Linked DNA regions of Mus musculus. The protein of the gene in region 3 interacts with the protein of the main gene of each other region in a pairwise test. Links are inferred from orthologs where the notes say so. Each region holds a gene or a part of one and is shown on either strand. Other genes may lie near its edges. The genes, in order: Phf1, Casp9, Birc7, Polr1c and Ddx6.

Region 1 (4,276 bases), on a different chromosome or scaffold from region 3:
ACATCCACCCTGGAGGAGCATGGAATTGTCAGCAGCATCGGCGCTATCAAAATCAGGGGTCATTAGGGTAACATGGTGGACAACAGAAATGAATCACAACCCATCTCACCAGCGAAGCTGTAACCTCCGGACCTTCTCAGGGCCGCCCCGGCACACACAGCACTCAAATTCATAGAATCTGCACATGGGCCAGGACAGAGGATGCACCTCATTCAGCCCTCTGACCCCGGCTGCAGAGGACTGCGGGAGAGCACAGGTGGACTCCCGAGCATGCGTGCATGTCCTGTCTCACCTGTCTCCGTAGAGGAGGGGCTTGCTCAGACACTGGGTGCAGGCCTCATGGAACCACTGGAGGCAGCTCCGGCACTGCAGCATTTTCAGGTTCCACCTGGAGGGGAGACAGCGCTTGTGGCCCTCAGACAGCCTTCTTGAAACCACAGGGCCCCCTCGCCCCCTGTTCACCCATTTTCCCGGGCTCTGCCACCACAACAACCCCCATCCCATAGCTTGACAACACCCTCTCCACTCACTCTCCAGGGCCTCCACAGTAGCAGTAGCTCTGCTGTCTGTTGCTCAAATGTCCAGCATCCCAGTCCAGCCCTTTTAATCCGTATGGCAGGGAGAGCTTCATGCCCAGCATGGCCCGGGCATAGGGACCTTTCTTCAGTGCGCCTCCCCTCTGCAGAGGGACAGACAGATGGAGACCTCAGAGAGGCAGGAACGGAGGAGAGACCACAGGAGCTTCCCACACAGGGGCAGAGAGGCACCTTTACCTTAGTGGCGATTGCAAAGACACACTGGCGGCATACCCAGGATGCGCCCTCTCCTTCTCCAGGGGCCGGGGCCCTGGGAACGTGACAGTCCTGGTGATAAGCTGAATAAGGACAATGTTGAGGGTAGACCACTGTGTGCATCTAAGTCCTGCTGTGTGTGTTATCCTGACACTGCAGGTGAGTCAACAAGCTTCTCACAGCTGAGGGCCTAGCCCAAGGAAGCACGGTTAAGAAAGGTAATGTAAGCCCCTCAGCTTTGCATGGCCTGGGTCACCTGATCTATGGCTCCCTCGCCCTGTTCTGAGAGATGTGGTGACAGGGTGAAGACTGGCCAGGACAGGAGACATAACTCATGCTATAAGGCAGGGCTAGTGGCAACCCAGAAGACCCAGGGCAGACTGCACCACCTAAGTATCCTGGCCTCTCACCATGGCGACACTTCTCACAGCTGACCAGCCGGTTCCCAGGTACCACGGTCTCAGAGCGACACACACAACAGAGCAGCTCCTCCCCAGGGAGGGCAGCTGTGAGGGAACAAAGTGTCAGGAGGCCTACCAACAACCAGTGTCCCCACCCACTCCAGCTTCTGCTGTCACAGGCTTCAGTCTGAAGGTCTCACCTGGGCTGATATCCTTCCATAGAACCAGAAACTGGGAATCGTCCTCAAACTGGACCAGACACACCTCTCGAGCACTGTCCACCTGGAATGGGTGCCCAGTGATGCTAAAATGGGAATGAGAACTGACTGGAGACTGGGAAGGCAGTGAGATCAGAGGTGGGTCTTACCTTTTTGATGGTACCCAAGTACAGCAGCCCATCAGTCCATCTGGCCAGCACATCTTGGCCTTCCCAAAGCCGAGGTCTGGGGCCTGAGGTGGGAGCAGGGGAAGCTGGATCCCAGAGAGAGGGGGCACCCAAACGGCTCAGCCGGGGGAGCTGCGCCATTGCATCCTGGGGGGGCCTATTCCAAGATAGGATGGTTAGAGTTATGGGTGCTGAGAAAGTTTCCCTGAGCTCGTTGTTTTCTCTTATGGATAAAGAAACCCTGTTCCTGGTGGAGCAGCTCCAACGCCCCAGTCTTCTAATCCTGAGCCCTATAAAGGTGGGTGGCTCTGGTCAGCTTCTCGACTCTACTCTTTTCCATCTCCCCTGCCTCGTTTTGTAGTTTCCCAGCTCCTAGGGACTCAGGTGAAATGATCTTTGCGGAATCAAGGTTACCGCTTAGCTTCACCTTGCCCAGCTGTTTACAGGGATCCTAAATGGGGCAATCTGTTGCCCAGAGATGTTTTGGGAGCTTTTCTGAAGACGTTTCCCGAGTAGAAACAGCTGCCTCCCCAGGCCTGTGTGTCTTATTTAGAACCACCACCCTGGTGCCAGGTGATGTTAGGTCACCCTCAAATTTGGGGCTCTCTGACCCGGGATTAGATAACTTCCCTGAGTGCCCCAAGAGGGGGGCGTGTCCCTGTCCAAGTCTCTACTCCCCTACACTGTCAGTCCAAGGAGGGACTTGAGTCGCCCCAGCACAGACCCTAAGCTGAGACCAGGAGGCTCTCCAACCCTTCTTCCTCACCGACCCCCAGCTCCCTGCCCCCCTCTCCAGGCCTCCCGCCTCCTCCTTACCGGTGACAGCCGGGGCAGCTGGAAGCCAGGTAGGGTCAGACTCAAGAGACCTGGATGAGTCTCCGGTGCGGGAAGACTGAGTGTGAGCGCCGGGGGGCGTGCAGGCGGAGGCCAGGGGGTCCCCGGGCCCAGCCCCTCCGTCCTGGCGGCTCTGGGGCGTATGACGCAGCAGCCAAAGCAGCAGCAGCGGCAGGAGGAGTCGACAGAAGGAGGGAGGAGAGTGGAGGGTGGGGAGCACCAGGGGGAGGAGACGACAGAGGGACGGGCAGGCAGCACCTCCCTCACCTCCAGCGGGCCCGGAGGGCGCTGCGCTGTTGGGGGCGCGGCCGGTCGCGGAGGTCGAGGAAATCCCTGCAGCCCCTTTTTCGGATGGGAGGCTTGCTCTGGGTCAGCAGGAAATAACCTTCTTGGCAGCTAGCCTGCAGGTCAGGGCCGGGCCCCGCCCCATGCCACATCCGTTAGCTGCCCCGCCCCCGTGGCCACTCCAAGCTCCGCCTCCGCACGCGGCACCGCCCTCCCCATTCACGCTGCCTGTCGCCCCGCCCTTCTGCGCACGCGTAACCCCGCCTGTGCGCCGCACCTGGGCACACGGCCACTCCTCCGGCCGCGAGAGCACTGGTGTAGGTTTGCTCCTCCTGGGAGGGAAAGGACAAGGGGCTATTTGGAACTAGTACTGAGTTAGTGACGTGCCCACACCAGCCAATAGGCACTAGGCGGCACGGAACCATGGTTCGAACCGGTGGGCAGGGAAAGAAAGAGATTGTGGAGTGCACTGGCAGTCACACCAGACAAGAGCATTCCTGTTCTGGGCTGGGGCTGGGGCCTGGCAGTCCTAAGAAATTGTTAAGAGGGCCCAGTGCCGAAGGGTAGAGAAGAGGCATCAGGACGGCAAAGTGTGCCCCACCAAGTGAAAGCCCATAGCCTCACTCTGCAAACACATCACAATGGACATTTCTACGTGCTTACAGTATTTATTTACAATACCTTCCTTTGGCAGCTAAAACCGTTAAGTTAATAAAACCGTTTAGAGCTGTAACAAGGGCCGGGCTGGGAAGATGGCTGGGCGGTTAAGAGCACTGACTGATTTTGCAGAGGACCCACATGTATTCCATAATCCCAGTTCTTGAAGGACCTGAAGCCCTGTTCTGAACTCACTGGAGCAGGAGACATGCACATGGTGCATGCATATACACTCAGGCAAAACAACTGCACACAATTTTTTAAAATCTAAGATTAAGAAAAGGATTAACATACAAAAGATTATTCTTTATTACATAATAAATACCCAGTAATATCATGTCTCAACTCCCACCCACCCCCACCGAATAAATACACACTAAAACAGAGACGCATGCGCACTGGCTTGCAAGGGCTCTGGATCCGACTTCACTTCTTATTAGCCTGAGCAGTACCAATGACACACTGGTTCACCTGTGGACAGATAAACAGGGTCACACAAGGTCAAGGGTTACAGATGAGAAGCCTTCCCACTCTGCCCCGTGCTGGGCCCACATCTGAATCTCTGAAGTCTCTGTTATGGAAGCAGGTCCAGCCTGCCCCCTGGAGGGATGGTGATGCTATGTCCACTAAGCCTGGAAGAGACCGGACTGAAAAGACGAAGCTTTATAGTGCTGGCTAGTTTTTATGTCAACATGACACCGGCTACTCCTCATTTGAGAAGAGGGGACCTCAATTGAGAAAATATCCCATCAGATTGGCCTGTGAGCAAGCCTTTTCTTAATCAATGATTGATGTTGGAGGACCCAACCCTAGTGTGGGCCAGTGCCACCCCTGAAAAGGTGGTTCCCCAATGAGGTAAGAAAACCGGCTGAGGAAGCCAAGAGGAGCGAGCAGTAAACAGCACTCCATTATGGCCTAAAGAA
Region 2 (3,511 bases), on a different chromosome or scaffold from region 3:
GTTGGGAAGTGACACAAGAAAGCAGGAGAACGAGTCAGAGAAGGACATTAGCCACATGTGTATCCATGTGTCATCCTCTGTCTGCAAACTGCATGTGAAGCCGAGCCACAGATAAGGATAAACCTGTCTACATGCAAGTCTGGTCCCCTGTAACAACATACAGCAGGAGGCAGAACGTCCCCTCAGCAATGCCAGCCCTTAGCGGCTGTGGCTGACTGTGGCTGCTCTCTGCCTTCTCCGACTAAACTCTAAAATTCTGAAGAGGACTCTCCCCAGGATTGACAGCAGGACCTGTCTGAGCCATGCTGGGCTCTGGCCAAGAGTGTCACACTGTGTAACACACACACAACACCACACCCATTGCTGGCTCTGGGGGGACCGTTTTCTAACCTGGTTCTAGGCCACCACTTAACAAAGGGTAGGTAATGTGTTGCCCTTCAAACGAAAATGGTGACATTGAAAACAGCAACAATAGAGCCACCAAAATCCTGGGCTGGCATCTGCCTGTGACATCTGCATGTGTGTGTACAGGATACCAGCCAGGCCTGAGAGCAGATGTCACTGCTTAGGTTCGTAGGTGACATGGCACCACCATGTGGCAACACCATTAAACAGCAGGCCGTACTTCCTGGTTAAGACAAAGCTAGACAAATTCCACAAGAGGGAACAATTTTGGAGGGTAGACAGGATCTCATGTAGCCCAGGTTAGCCTGAAACTATTGTTTGGTCTCTCTCGATAGCTCTGGCTGTCCTGGGACTCACTATGAAGACTACGGAGCCTGGAACTCACAGAGACCCTTCTGCTTCTGCTTCCCAAATGCTGGGATTAGCCTTGTCAAGGAAGGGAGCACTGGGCAAGACTTCCTGGAGGCAATGGCAATAAATTGTAAGCAGGGGGACAGGAAGAATTGGGAGCTACAGAGGTGGCTCAGCAGGTGAACACACTGGGCGCTTTGAGAAGGCTGTGCTGAGGAAAGCGAGGGCAGGCACAGCGGCAGGGTCCAGGTCATCAAAGGCTTTGATGACCTTGCCAAGAAGTCTAAAGAGTAGCCCTGTTCATGTGTGTGGGACCAAAATCCTACTGGCTTATGAAAACAGGGTGGGGTTTGGGGGTGGGGAGACTGGGTGAGGTGACAAGCATGCAGCCCCGTCCTGGGAGCTGGCACCTACTCAGCTCTGTTTCTTGTTCCCTCTTCGACTTTCAGGGTTTGGGGTTGGAGCATCATCTCAGAGCAGAAATTGGGTGAACAAGAGGACATCTCCATGGCTGTAGGGGTACAGCCGCTTTCTCCCTAAGGTCAGTATGAGAGATAACAGCACTGAACAAGGGGGACATGCGGGGCACCCCTGATCCCTGGGAGTACTGGAGAGGGAGTATGTGGGATATCAGGGTTGTTTTGTCTTCTGGTTTTGGCTTGATTTGTGTTGGTTTGGGGTTTTCAAGGCAGTTTCTCTGTGTAGCCTTGGCTGTCCTAGAACTTCTGTAGACCAGGCTGGCCTCAAACTCAGAGACCTGCCTGCCCCTGCCTCCAAAGTGCTAAGATCAAAGGCATGCACCTTATTTATTTATTTTGAGATGGGCATTTAATTATTTATTCATTTATTTTTGAGATAGGCTGTGGTGAATATACCTGGCCTGTGGGAAGTGGCACTATTAGGAGATGTTAGAGCAGGTGTGGCTTTGCTGGATGAAGTGCATAATTGTGGGGGTGGGCTTTGAAGCTCTGCCGGGTATGTAAGAGACCCTCCTCCTAGCTGCCTGAGAGTCTCTTCTGGCTGCAGTTGGATCAAAATGCAGAGCCCTCAGCTCCATATCTGTCTCCAGCACCATATCTGCCTGGACGATGCCATGCTTCCTGCTATGATGTTAATGGACTGAACCTGAGGACCTGTAAGCCTGCCCCAGTTAACTGTTGTCCCTTATGAAAGCTGCCTTTGCCATGAGTCTCTTCTCAGCAGTGAAACCCTAACTAAGCCATAGGGTCTTACTGTACAGCTCTAGTTGGCCTGAAATTCACTATGAAGAGTAGGCTGGCACTGAACTCACAGAGGTCCACCAGTCTCTACCTTCTGTGTGCTGGGATTAAATGTGTGGGCTGGAGAAATGGCTCAGTGTGTAAGAACACTGTTCTTCCAGAGGTCCTGAGTTCAATTCCCAGCCAGCAACCACATGTTGCTTCACAACCATCTAAACTGGGATCAGAAGCCTCTTCTGGTATGCAAGTGTACATGCAGATAGAGCACTCACATATGCAAAGGAAATAAGTCTTTGTAGGGCAATACTTGGAATGTAAATTAATAATAATAATAATACTAATAATAATGATAATAATAATATGTCCATCACCACATCTTGACCACACCCTTGCAAGTCAGAGGTATGAAATAAAGGTGTTACCCAGGCATGGCTATTTACAGTGATCTTGTAAGTACAGAAGTTCAAATTCAAAGGTGATGTCTCTTAGAAGTCATTGAGAAGGAGGGGAGAAGGAGGGAGGAGGTGGTAGCAGGAGGTGGTGGCAAGAAGAGCAGCTAACACTTGAAGCTGTCCACCACATTGAAATCCGACAAGAATTCGAGAAGCCCTCACTGGAGCCAGCACCATGATTTTGTATTTTCAGTTTCTAGATGGTGAGGTGGTAAACCTCCTTCCCTTATGTATTCCCGAGCCCGTGGTATTCAGTTCTAGTGACAGAAAACACATTACACCACCAAGCATAGAGCAAAACCTCAATGTCCCTCAGATCCTTGGGCTCCTGGGAGTTCCAAGAGTTAAATTCTTTAGTTTCTCCTCGACACTCAGTGCACTTTCCCTGGGACAGTAGAAATGGGGTCTTAACTAAATGTCAGAGGTCAGGGGAAGGTGCCAAGGCAAACTGAAGAGTCGTTTTACGCTCTCCTTTGCTCTGAGTGTGTGTGTGTGTGTGTGTGTGTGTGTGTGTGTGTGTGTGTGTGTGTTAATGTTAGCATGTGTGCGAGTGCACATGTGTGCACATGCATTTTGGGGACCATTACCTCTACCTGCCTAGCCGTGGGATTACAGGTGGGCACCATGGTGCCTGGCTCAGACTCAAGAGCTCCACGCTTTCATGGCGAGCACCTTACAGATGGAGTGGTCTCCCCTGCCCTGCAGTTTTTTACTGAAATTCTAGGACTGAAGTGATCAGGATTATACTAACCACTGATGTCACAGTACCCAACTGTCTGATGGTGCTGGGCCTGTGGTGGCAAGGAGTGAGTCCTGCTGTATGGATACCAGAGATGTGTAGAGAAGCCCACTGACCCAGTGAGGGGCTAACGTGGGGTTATCCTGGTTTCCTGCAAGCCCTACTCCCAGCGGGCTCCAGGCCACTCACCACCACCGCAGGCCTGGATGAAGAAGAGCTTGGGCTTCCCTCCCAGGCTGGGGCAGCCGCTCCCGTTGAAGATATTCACAATTTTCTCAATGGACACGGAGCATCCATCTGTCCCATAGACAGCACCCGGGAACTGGAGGTGGCTGGCCTAGGGG
Region 3 (4,240 bases):
TCCTTACAAACTATTATTTCTTATTTTTGAGACAGGGGCTCTCTCTAGCACAGGCTAGCACAGAACTTACTATCTAGCTCAGGTTGGTCTTGAACTCACAAAAATCTTCCTGCTTTATCCCCATGAGTGCTAGGACTGCATGCATGAACAGCCATGCCTATCTTACAATGTCTCACAAGCTCCAACCCCTCACCATGCCTCCCAAGACTCAACCTCTAACTGAGGGACTATTGACAGTTGGCAGCTTCTGGAAAAGGGAGGGTCAGTTTTCTTTAAGGTTGTGGCCCTTGGTAGGTTGCCCATGCTCCTGTGGACATCCCCACACCCATAAGTATATGGACACCACAAACCAGACTCAGTGGGTTATACATTAAAAAAAAAATAAATAAAAGGACATGAAGTTGGAGTGGATTGCTTTTTTTTTTTTTTTTTTTTTTTTGAGACAGGATGTCCTGGGTGTTCTGGAACTAGTTCTGGGGAGGCTGGACTCAAACTCAGAGGTCTGAAATTTTCAAAGAATTAATAAAAATATTATATATATATATATATATAAGCTCCCAATATTAAAAGCTTCACAATCAGTGAAGAGCGACTCAAGGGTAAAGGTTTGAGCAGAAGCCTGGGAATTACAGTGCGAGCTGCAGCAGAGCTGGCCCCTTGATCTTCTCTGCCTCTTCCAGGGGTCCCAAGGACTCTTGTTTTACCAACCTATAGCTGTGGCTTCTCTGGGGTGATGATCCTCCTCTCTGTTCCCTGTTTTTTTGTGTGTGTGTCAGTCGAATCCCTCACCTGGGGCTGGTTAGTGAAGACCAGGTTCTGGGGCAGAGCTCATTTAGGGAGGCAACATTCCATGTGACAGTGCAAATGGAAATGTCTGGCCTGGAACAAATACCATCCAAACCTTGAGCTCCTCCAGACAAAGGCCAGGGCACACCCTACCCTTGATTTGCCTCTAGACTGTCCAGACAGATAAAGAGCAACCTGAGACCAGATGGGTGGACTGACCCTGACTCAGGGCTGAGCCAAGCAGGGACCTCTCCTCAGTGCTGGGGACAAGATGAGCGGGTGATGAGGTCATCCCTGAACATCAGTCAGCACAGGCTTGGTAAGGAAGGATTGGTGGGGTTGCATAGTGTCCTGGACAGCCTAGCTTCCTACCCTGCAGGCCCCTGTCTGGGTCTATCTCCACCCAGAACTAGACCCTAAGTGTCTGGAATCTCTCTCCTCTATTTTGTCCATGTTCATGACCTGTTTCCTGAGGCTTAGGGGATGCCATTGGAGGGGTCCCAAGCTTGGTCCCTCCCCCTATTGAGAGATGCTTTTTGCCTGGTGGCGTACTGCCTTTGTTATGTGCCTGCCAGCAGGCCCCATGACACGCTGCAAAGAGCATGTGGCTGCCCTGGCCTCTCTCAGAAAGTGGCTCATTCCTGGACACCGCCACTGCCTCTGAGCATCTAGCAGCTTGCAGTTAGAAGCAGGAACACCACAGCCTCTGGGAAGGACTAGAGGCAGGAGCTGGAACGGTACAACACCAGGCACATTCCTGGGCTGGTGATGTTCTCACCTGCAGACTTATTCAGAGCTGCTGTCTTTTCCATGGGGCCTGAGAGTAGGGCCAGGGACTCGGTCCGTGGCCCAGAACTAAGCCACAGGGAAGATGGCAGTGGCCGCACACAGGAACAGGATAAACCCCACTGTCCGTGTAACCATGTCCTGGGCCAGGACTGCCTAGATGGGCAGATCTTAGGCCAGCTTCGGCCTCTGTCAGAAGAGGAAGAATCCTCTGGGGCTGCCTTCCTTGGGGAGCCTGCCTTCCCTGAGATGGACTCAGAGGATCTCCGGCTAGCCTCCTTCTACGACTGGCCATCTACTGCAGGGATTCAGCCTGAGCCATTGGCTGCTGCTGGGTTCTTCCACACAGGTAAATGTTGGGGTCTTTTTTACTGTGGTCTGAATGCTACTTAGCACTCTTCCAGGCAAACGGTTTTGCCCATTCTTGCCCTGAGGGAGGAACTAATAAAAGGTACTCCTGTCATCCTTGCCTGGTCAGGGCTAGACCCACTCAAAGCCACTATGAAATTCTGGGCTTATGCTGGCCTTGTTCTGAGGGCCCTTGAGGGGTCTGCTGGCTTGGTGGTTTCACCTGGCTTACACGGCTCTGAGGATTTCTTCAGGGATGCCCAGTCATCAATGCCTTTCAGGTTTGGTAGATAGAGCTGATTAATCCCTTTCATCCCTTAGCCCAAAGCGACAAAACCGGAATCTATTCTACTGGGGCAGGGGCCAGCTTAAGCATCCAGTGCCCATCTTGTAGGTAATCTCTCAGGCTTCCTAAGTACCTGGTTAGTGCAGGGACCAACTCCAGACAAATCCTTTGAATACCTGTTCTAGTTACAAATGTAGACTACTCCTTGAGCTTGGTCTGCTCTCATTCCCAGTAGGGCTCAGGTTCTGGCTCTGACTCTTCCTGGCTGAGGGAAAAGGAATCAGTGAGCCCAGCCGAGCATAGCCAGAGAAATTGTCACCAGTGGGCCTAGCAGGGGAGGAAACAGTCATTCTCCTAGCAACGGCCAGGCAAGAGTCCATACTGATTTAGGACAATCTGACACTGGTTATGAAGGGTCAATGTCTGGAACAGTTAGAGCCCCCTTGAAAAGGAGTCTCTTTGAGGCCAACAGATGTCATGGGTATTTTGTGGACCGTGGGTACCTGCTGTGGGATATGCCTGTAAGCAATCCTGTTTGGAACTTCTGCTCAAGGTCATGAAGGACACATATTCCTATGGCTGGGGGGGGAAGGGCACAGAGCAGAGATGATTGAGGCCTGAGCCACTAAAACCAAGTCTGTCTATAAACTGGTATGGAAGGGGTCACCTCCTTATCCTGTAACTAGAAGTCCTTCTTGGAGGCCCTGACACTCCCAGGCTACAGATGCTCCAAGCCTTTGGCTCAACCCTACCCACATGCTCTGAGAACAACACAAATGCTAGCTCGACCTTTCTGGAATATTCTGAAGCCCTCCTGACACATGCCCCAGGGCCATTGTCTTTATTTGCCTTTGAGGCAAGAGAGGTGTCCATGTGCCTTGCTCCCTTCTTGTTAACCTGCTGGCAGATTCTAGTCCTGCCTGTCTAAGCTTTGATGGTCATGGAGGGACACCCTGGGGTTGCCAACTAGGTGGGGCTACCAGCTATGTGTCTCTGCCATACCTAGGCCAGCAGGACAAGGTGAGATGTTTCTTCTGCTATGGGGGTCTACAGAGCTGGGAGCGTGGGGATGACCCCTGGACAGAGCATGCCCGATGGTTTCCCAGGTAAGGGCCCTGTGGGCTACTGCAGTTCTGACTAATGAGAAGGGTCCCAAAGAACTCTGTATAGCCTTCCCACCTCCCATGTTTCTGAGACATCAGGATCTCTCTAGGGCTGCTAGGGTAGGCACTCCCCTGTTGCTGCTATCCTTTCCAGGTGCACACCTAGGTATTCGGAGCCCAACTCCAGACTAGCCTTACTAGCAGGTGCCCATGGGGATACAGCCCTGACTACCTGTCACAGGAAGTAATGGGTTCCATGGGCACAGAAGGCATGCCAAATCCCAAAGGCTTGCAGGGCTCGAATGTGACAGTGGGGCTCTAAGAGTCCAGTCCTGTCTTCTGAGCTCTCTTCTCCAGGTGTCAGTTCCTGCTACGGTCAAAAGGAAGGGACTTTGTGGAAAGAATCCAGACCTACACCCCTTTGCTGGGATCCTGGGTAAGTCCATCTGTCCTCAGGACCCAGGTGGGCTGGCAGTCTCTGCTTTGCTTACTTAAGGCACCAATGGCTCTCTAACAGGATCAGCGAGAAGAACCAGAAGATGCAGTCTCTGCCACTCCCTCAGGTGAGAGAGCCTAATAGCCTTTGCTGTTTAGTTGGTGTTTGCAGCCTGCACGTAGGTCAGACTGTTGAGTGTCTCCACCTGCCAGTCAGCAGAGAGGGTGGGGTCTGTGCCCACATGTTGTGTTCAAGGTAGTGAATCCCCTTGCTCCTAATGAGAAGGCTGCTAAAGACACCAGCCAAACCTGGGCATGTAGTTGTGTGTGTGCTAGGCTATGGTTCTGCTGGGTACGAGCCACAACAGCAGCTGCTGCTTCTCCTTCTCTCTTCTCTTCTCCTTCTCCTTTCTCCTTTCTCCTTTCTCCTTTCTCCTTTCTCCTTTCTCCTTTCTCCTCCTCCTCCTTCTTCTCCTTATGGTTTTTTGAGACAAGA
Region 4 (4,277 bases), on a different chromosome or scaffold from region 3:
GTGCCTGCCATTTAAAGGATGGTGGTGTGGAGGGAAGCGGGGTAGGAGGGAAGAGGGGTTAGCGCACTTGAGGGGTACCTAGCCAACTGTACCTTTCACCAAGTATTCACAACATGTTCAGTTCAGTAATGGGGTTGCAAGTAGGGGAGTCCACCAGAGCTCAGGGCTCTGAGTCTGAGTGAAGTCTGGATGAGGGTCTAGATGTGAGGACAGATGTCTCAGAGAAGGCGCCTCACCTGCTTCGGACCTGGGCAGGCTCCACATCAAAGTAGGGTCTGAGGATGTCAATGTTGGCATACAAGCTGAAGGCCCTGGAAGCCTGTCTCTTCCCTGCCTGCCACATCTGAAGGGAAATGGGTATGATGAGACTCTTGGCTCTAGATTGTTATTCAGTCTCGGCGAGATTTACGTGTGGGTCTAAGTGGAAAACCTCGATCAATTTAGGACATGCATAGGTCCTTTTTTTTTTCCCCATTGGCTTACCTGATCTGCTACCTGCCGGCTCAGTTGTCCTTTAAAGCCTTTCATGCCAAGAAACTCCCCATCCTCTTCTTCTGCAGCAGCTGCATCAGCATCTACTTCTTCCTCCCGCAGGCGCTGGTGCAGCTCACCCATGTCCTCGAAGCTGGAGCCTGAGGTATCGTCCATGTTCTCCATATCAATCACAGCCGAACCCCCACCCTGTGAAGACAACGGCTCGGAGAGTGAGGGGCCCTTCCATTGCATCCTCCCCGTTCTCCGCTCAGCTGACAACTTGAGGCTTTGATCTTCCACTGCCGAGGACATGGCTTGGAACTGCCACTCTTTCAGTGGTGGCAACTCTTGGTCGCGTCACTTTTGTGGTCCTGGAAACCCTACTATTTATTTTCAATCCACGTTGTTTTCCTACTTTCCACCTCAAAGCTCCAAAGAGTTGCAAAAGAGCCCATCTGCCATTCCCAATTCTCAAACAAGCCTATTTTTAGGGGGTGCCAGTGGATCCTAGCCTCCAGCCCCCACAGAGAGCCGAGGCCCGCGGGAGCCCTAGTTTGTCCCTTTCACGCCAGCACAAGAGCTACACCCTTCCCCGGGAAGACTCAAAGGGGACAGGCTGCGTTTCAGCGGAGCCGACCTCTAGGCCCCGCGAGAGAGAACAGCAGCCACCGTCCGGACGCCGCCAGCCCGGGGCTGCTGGCAGCAGGCGCGCTCCATACCTGGATGTTTTCTTCGAAGCCTCCCCATTCCGGGCCAGCACCATTTCGGACGCCGCTGGCCGGCGCCGCCGGAGTCGCCATGTCCCTCGAGGCTTCCCGTCGCTGGAGCACGCGCGCGTGGGAAGAGCGTGCGACCCGGGTCCGAGGGAGGGAGAGGTTCAGAGGGGCGACCGCCCGGGCAAGGTGGGGATCCGCCGGGACGCCGAAGGGAGAAACCCGGATGTTTGGCCCCACTTGACGTCCGGAAGTGAAGGACGTGGACAGAGGCGGGGCAAGATCTCGCGACATTCAAGATTGCGGGAGCCCGAGCGTTGCTGCGGAGACGCAGGCGCGGACTCGCCTCCTTTTACAGCGAGTGGCGGAAGATGGCGGCGGCTCAGGCGGTGGAGGAGATGCGGACTCGCGTGGTTCTCGGAGAGTTTGGGGTTCGCAATGTAAGAGATCGGGGCGCGGGAAGGATGAGGGCGGCACGGGGAAGTAGAGGCCTGGTGTGAAGGCTGGCCACACTGCCCTTTCTGTTGGCTCTAGGTCCACACCACGGACTTTCCCGGTAACTACGCCGGTTATGATGATGCCTGGGACCAGAACCGCTTCGAGAAGGTGGGTAGAGCTGAAGGTGCCCAGTCGGCCCGAGGGGCCAGACCTCGCAGGTTGGGGTGGGGGTCGCTGTTTCCATACAACACGCTTGAGCTCCATGGACGGGTCAGACACGGTGGTTGCTCTCGGTGGGATAATGGACCACACAGACAAGTTATTCCAGAATAGTAAGATAGCGGTGAAGATGGCTGGGATATGGTCAGGAATCATTGATGCACTGAATCCAGCTAACTGAAGGGACGTAGTTAAAGGTCAGTGAAGGGAATGGCATTTGAATTAAGCTTTGAACTATGAATAAAAGTTGAGTAGTGAAGGCCTGATTGGAGCTTCATTATATATGATTTTTTTAAAATTCACTTTGAAACTGTTTCTGTTTAGCCCTGGCACTCTCTCTATAGTCCAGGCTGGACTTGAACTCAGCCATCTACCTGCTTCTGTCTCTGCCTCCCATGCACTGGGATTAAAGGCATGAGCCACCACGCCCAATTTAGAATTTTTGAGTAGACTGATAACATTTTGCAATCTTGATAGCCAGGAGGGAATGAATTCTGGTGAATCTGCCAGCTAGTGTATGCAGGCTGAAATTGGGGGCATAGATGAACTCCAGACAGTACTAACGGAGTAAGGCAGGGAGAACTAGACGATTTGCACCAGTGCTCTGGGGAGGCAGTGTGTGAGAGAAAGGACTTTGTAACTTGAGGACCCTAAAACTTTCTTGATATGCGTGTTTGCCTGCATGTGTATTTGTGCACCACTGTGTGTTAGTGATCCCTGCAGTGTGAGGAGAATGTTAGGTCCCACCAGGTGCTGGGAACCAAACCCAGTTCTTCTGCAAGGGCAGTTAAGTGCTCTTAATAGCTGAGCCATTTCTCCAGTGGCACTGGGGAACTGTTGCTGGCTGTGTCGTTTGCCAAGCAGGAGAACAAGAATGAGGGTACACTCAGGTGCCTGCTTGTGAAGTCTATGTGCTTGCTTGAGCCAGGAGCATGGTGGAGGTCAGCCAGGGGATTAGAACCTAGGAGACAGGAACGTTTACTGTGTGGGTGGAAGGGGAAATTTAGAAAGAAGAGCAGATAAGGAAATTGGTGTTCAAAATCCAAGGGAATGTAGTTGAGAAAAGTAGGTATTAAAAAATAACGACAACAGACATGCAAGTATCAAACGGTCTAAGTAGTGTGGGAAGTTCTGCTTTTTGTATAGTAACTTCTCTGGGTGGTTTGTGGAAAATCTGGGAAGATTGGGCATAGTGGCGCACACCTTTAATCCCAGTACTTGGTAGGCAGAGGTAGGTGGATCTTTTGAGTTTGAGGCCAGCCTGGTCTACAGAGTTCCAGGACAGCCAGGACTACATGGAGAAACCTGGCCTTGGAAAAACCTAAAAAACAAGAAACACACAGCCTTGCCCCCAAGAACAGGACTGGAGACAAAATGTCTACTGAGCACCATGACTTTAGGGTGAGGGGATAGTGCAGGGTAGGAGCCAGGCAGGAGTCATGCAGGAGCTTCCCTCCTTCTAGAATTTCCGTGTGGACGTGGTGCAAATGGATGAAGACACGCTGGAGTTCGACATGGTGGGGATTGATGCTGCCATCGCCAATGCTTTCCGGAGAATCCTGTTAGCTGAGGTATTAGAGGACGTGGGCTGGAGGGTAGAAATTGTATCAATTTGTAGACGCTTTTCTCAAAGCCATCCCTCTGGGGCAGGTAGGGTGGTTCACACCTATGACAGTCTGGGCTACATAGTAAACATTGTATCAAGAATCTGAGCCACACGCCTTTAGTCCCAGCACCCCAGCACTCGGGAGGCAGAGGCAGGTGGATCTCTGAGTTCCAGGCCAGCCAGGGCTATACAGAGAAACCCTGTCTCAAAAAACCAAAAAAAAAAAAAAGAATCTGAAGGGCAAAATGAAAAAGTGCTGCCTCTTCCTTTTCCAGGCAGGGGGATGGGTGGAGGTCAGTTGTCTGCTTTGCCTCCTTGGGCAGGTGCCGACAATGGCCGTGGAGAAGGTCTTGGTGTATAACAACACGTCCATAGTCCAGGATGAGATCCTTGCTCACCGCCTGGGGCTCATCCCCATCCTCGCTGATCCTCGTCTCTTTGAATATCGGAACCAAGGTGAGGCTGAGAGCTTGGGATTATGAGTTAGGCAGAACTGACCTGGAATGCATGGGCTCAGGTCCCAGGCCTACTGCTGGGGCTTTAGTTGGCATCTTGTACATCTGCCTTCGCCTGGGAGAACAGCTGTCCCCACCCCACCTCTAGTCTCACTGTGTACACCCTCGGAACACAGCGCTAGCAGCACTCAGGCTCTCTCCACCTTTACATTCTTCCTGGGGATTGAACTTGGGTCTTCAGGTTGGAGCAAGCATGCACCCTCACTCTGTGAGCCTTCTTGTCAGCCTGGTATTAGAGTTGATATGGCCAGGCACGGTGGTGGACAGCTTTACTCCAAGCACTGGCAGAGGCAGGCAGATGTGTCCTGAGTT
Region 5 (3,511 bases), on a different chromosome or scaffold from region 3:
AAAGGAAAGGAAAGGAAAGGAAAGGAAAGGAAAGGAAAGGAAAGGAAAGGAAAGGAAAGGGAAAATGATCTAATTGTCCAACTTGCTAGGAATTAGTGAAGGACAGGACTCAGCACAAAAGCCCACTACTTACCCTGGAGAAAAGTGTATTGAGGCAGTGCACTTTTTGGCGCTCCGTTACATATGCGTAGTACTGAGTTACTCCTTTCAGAGTTAGTTCCTCCATCAGGTTTATCTCGTAGGGTTTTTGCAGATGGGAATTCTGGAGTGGGAGGGAACACAGTCATTAAGTAAAGACTTTCAGGCATGCTAAGGCAAGAGCTCCCATTTCTTGCCCCAAGTTTATACCTTTTTTTTTTGGTTTTTTATTTTGTCTCTTGCTCTAAAGGATGAATCTCTTTTCAAAACCAAGTATTCATAAAATAAGTTATACTAAAATGGTAGACCTCAGATTCAAATGCACCTCACAGAGATGAGCTATAACCAACTTACGATGGGATATGTCACCTTGGCACAGAGTTAAAAAAAAAAAATCACAACTCCTCTCATTTTGAAGCAGGGTCTCATGGCCAGCCAGCACTACACATAGAAACTGTCTCCAAGGGAGGCAGAAGCAGGCAGATTTCTGAGTTCCAGGCCAGTCTGGTCTACAGAGTGAGTTTCAGGACAGCCAAAGCTATAGAGAGAATCCCTGTCTCGGAAAAAAAACAAAAACAAAAACAAACAAACAAAAAAACCCCCAAAACTGTCTCCAAAAATCAAAACCAAGAAAAAAAAGAGAAAAACAGACCAACTGACAGACGGATGGACAGATGGCATGGAACTCATGTAAACCAGGCTAGCCTCAGAACAAGTAGAGGTCATTTAAGTTAAAAAAAAAAAAAGTGCACATACATATTTTTAATCCCAGTACTTGGGAGACAGAGACCTCTGTGAATTTGAAGCTAGCATACTGGCCAGGGCTACACAGTGAGACCCTGTCTCAAAAAACTAAATCCATGCCCAAATCTTATTGACCATATTAAAAAAAACAAATCCGAAACCTTGCAATAACATATATTCTGATAATACAATGTAATTACAGGTAAAAGCACACTCAGTACCATGACAGCACTGATGCCAGGTACAGAGCTAATACTCACCATAAACTTTTGTACACTAAGAGGGAAAGTAGCGGAGTATAGTAAAATCTGCCTATTTTTAGGTAGTGTGAGAATAATATCCTCCATTATCTGCACAAAATCCTGTGACAACAATTTATCTGCCTGTAATACAAAAAAAAAGTTACTTTTAAAAAAGAATAAGGCATTAAAAGTTTTGGAGAGCAATATAAGCAAAGGGCAATGCACAACCTACACACAGGCTTCTCCTGGCTATAACCCTAAGACTCTAATGTAGACAATGTTACCAGGACAACCCCTAGCAGTGCATAAGGGGGAGGAGCCTAGCGTGGTAGCATATGCCTGTAAGCTCAGCACCTGAGTGGCTGACCTGGGAGAGAAGTGAGAAGCTGAGGTCAGCCTGGGCTACATTATGAATCTGTCTTAAAGCAGAGGCTATAATCCCTAAGGAAAAAAATATGTAGACTGTCAAAATCCTTTTCTTTGACAGAATTTAAATGTGATCCCCATTAAAGAGATAATAGAGTATATTGGTCAAAAATGTGTTTTGAGCTAGATGTGGTTGGCATAAACCTTACTCTCAGAAGGTAGAAGAAACAGGACGATAAATCCAAGGCCATTTGGGCTGAAATGTTTTACTCGTTAGCTGTACTGGGTACCACTTAGCCATGTTTCAATGTCCTCAACTATGGACACAGGTTATCCACACTCCCATAACAACCTATATCTTATCAGACTAAATATCACATTATGTACTCAATATATAATAGTCAGTGTTATTCCTCATTAGTGAAAAGCCAGAAACTAGTAATCTAAAACAAAACAGAAAAGGAAAATAGCTGTATACCAAAACACTAATAGTGACACACTAAATGCATATAGCACTGCTACACCCGAGAGACACAGAGGAGTAGTTTTTTATTTTTAAGACAGAGTCTCACTTTGTAGTCCTGACTGGCCTGAAACTTACTATGCAGTCCTCAAATTCAAGACAGACATCTGACTCTACCTCCCAGGTAAAACATTTGGCTTCAGTCGAGTAATTTCTTAAAAGGAATTCATATTAGGTTATAACCTAAGGAAGTAACAAATTTCAGACACACATGAACCAAACAATATAAAGAAGCAGATGTAAAACAAAGGGTAGGGTTAAGAACTATCTTAGCTTAGCTTACATGCTTTTAAAATGTTAACACTGAATAGAAAGACATAAAACGAACTTGGCTTGGTTATTTCTAATCACACGTATCCAGGACAGGGTGTGAGCTGAGCTCAGAGGAGGACAGTCAGGAACATTACCTCATCTAGCACTATCATCTGGACATGGTCAACCTTTGCCACGCCTTTCTTGATGAGATCCAGGATCCTGCCAGGGGTAGCGATCACCACATGCACTACAAAGATTTACAGGGAAAAATAAAAAAGATTCAGAAAATATATACTCTCTTGTTAATTTTACCTAGGACGGAAAAAAAAAAAAACTTGTAACTTTATAGTATATATTTAGCATCATAGATAATATTTATAGAGGTACAAATTAATACCAAAAGGTACAAAGATGTATTTTGGGCTGTATATTTTCATCTCTTCTTACAGCAGGTAGACAATACTTGTTTCAACTCTTCAATAAATGGGCTAATTTCCCAAATTACTAATTCCAACTAAAGGCATACAACTTTTATCTTATGACAATCTGCAAGAAATAACAGCCAGAATACAGGGTTTCGCATACAAAAGACATGTCTTCAATCTGGGCAATGCTGCTCAGACTGTTTTAAGGGGAAAAAAAGACTGATCACTAAACCAAAAATTGTGCAAGTTAAAAAATATAGCTAAATAACCAAATACTAATATATATTAACATTCTGAGTAAAACCTGACTCTTGCTATTTTGTTACTGTTCTTCACCCAGCATTATACAGTGAACAGCCCTTCATAAAAACTCAATACGTAAATCTTTACTGACTGTGAAACTCCATTCAGGCTCACTGAATCTAACCAATCTCCTGAAATATTTAAATTTGCCTTCTTTTTCAGAGTAAACAACTTTGCATATATACAATTTTATATTTATCAAAGTACTTGAAAATCTAAGTTTATAACCTGAAATATACTGTCATATATATTGTACACTTATGTTATAAAACAGCCTACTTTCCACAAATATCCATCACTCATAACTAATACTTTTTTGCCTTGAAATTTAGAACAGTTAATATAAATATGGTACTCTGAACTACATTAAACAATACTAAAAAATAATCCCAGAATTCCAGAGGCAGAGGCAGAGAGGTCTCTGTGAGTTGGAGGTTTGAGGACAGCCTGGTCTACATAGAGAGACCTTGTCAAGGAAAACAAAAACCAAAACTACTAATAAGGCTGAATAACCT

The links.
Region 1: the proteins of Birc7 (region 3) and Phf1 interact in binary tests that used the Homo sapiens proteins (3 or more experiments, as listed by UniProt). The two-hybrid records come from large-scale screens. The link is inferred for Mus musculus from reciprocal best matches to the Homo sapiens genes BIRC7 and PHF1.
Region 2: the proteins of Birc7 (region 3) and Casp9 interact in binary tests that used the Homo sapiens proteins (3 or more experiments, as listed by UniProt). The two-hybrid records come from large-scale screens. The link is inferred for Mus musculus from reciprocal best matches to the Homo sapiens genes BIRC7 and CASP9.
Region 4: the proteins of Birc7 (region 3) and Polr1c interact in binary tests that used the Homo sapiens proteins (3 or more experiments, as listed by UniProt). The two-hybrid records come from large-scale screens. The link is inferred for Mus musculus from reciprocal best matches to the Homo sapiens genes BIRC7 and POLR1C.
Region 5: the proteins of Birc7 (region 3) and Ddx6 interact in a two-hybrid assay, tested with the Homo sapiens proteins (3 studies listed by BioGRID and IntAct). The two-hybrid records come from large-scale screens. The link is inferred for Mus musculus from reciprocal best matches to the Homo sapiens genes BIRC7 and DDX6.

The regions. Positions count from the first base shown.
Region 1 is NC_000083.6:26,931,652-26,935,927, reverse strand, and holds the start of Phf1 (PHD finger protein 1), read right to left. Parts: upstream 2,802-4,276; 5' UTR 2,394-2,801; intron 1,735-2,393; 5' UTR 1,719-1,734; coding exon 1,560-1,718; intron 1,475-1,559; coding exon 1,393-1,474; intron 1,298-1,392; coding exon 1,202-1,297; intron 875-1,201; coding exon 774-874; intron 680-773; coding exon 531-679; intron 457-530; exon of another isoform or gene 389-456; coding exon 293-388; intron 179-292; coding exon 110-178; intron 10-109; coding exon 1-9. Other genes in the region: Kifc5b (kinesin family member C5B), read right to left, coding at 3,780-3,824. UniProt on the Homo sapiens protein: Polycomb group (PcG) that specifically binds histone H3 trimethylated at 'Lys-36' (H3K36me3) and recruits the PRC2 complex. Involved in DNA damage response and is recruited at double-strand breaks (DSBs).
Region 2 is NC_000070.6:141,807,108-141,810,618, reverse strand, and holds part of Casp9 (caspase-9 isoform 1 precursor), read right to left. Parts: intron 3,505-3,511; coding exon 3,357-3,504; intron 1-3,356. UniProt on the Homo sapiens protein: Involved in the activation cascade of caspases responsible for apoptosis execution. Binding of caspase-9 to Apaf-1 leads to activation of the protease which then cleaves and activates effector caspases caspase-3 (CASP3) or caspase-7 (CASP7).
Region 3 is NC_000068.7:180,927,593-180,931,832, forward strand, and holds the start of Birc7 (baculoviral IAP repeat-containing protein 7 precursor), read left to right. Parts: upstream 1-1,430; 5' UTR 1,431-1,554; coding exon 1,555-1,921; intron 1,922-3,212; coding exon 3,213-3,312; intron 3,313-3,666; coding exon 3,667-3,745; intron 3,746-3,826; coding exon 3,827-3,872; intron 3,873-4,240.
Region 4 is NC_000083.6:46,245,245-46,249,521, reverse strand, and holds the start of Polr1c (DNA-directed RNA polymerases I and III subunit RPAC1), read left to right. Parts: upstream 1-1,476; 5' UTR 1,477-1,558; coding exon 1,559-1,627; intron 1,628-1,721; coding exon 1,722-1,793; intron 1,794-3,307; coding exon 3,308-3,415; intron 3,416-3,773; coding exon 3,774-3,906; intron 3,907-4,277. Other genes in the region: protein YIPF3, read right to left, coding at 237-343, 484-681, 1,194-1,274. UniProt on the Homo sapiens protein: DNA-dependent RNA polymerase catalyzes the transcription of DNA into RNA using the four ribonucleoside triphosphates as substrates.
Region 5 is NC_000075.6:44,625,392-44,628,902, reverse strand, and holds part of Ddx6 (probable ATP-dependent RNA helicase DDX6), read right to left. Parts: intron 2,516-3,511; coding exon 2,421-2,515; intron 1,266-2,420; coding exon 1,143-1,265; intron 263-1,142; coding exon 134-262; intron 1-133.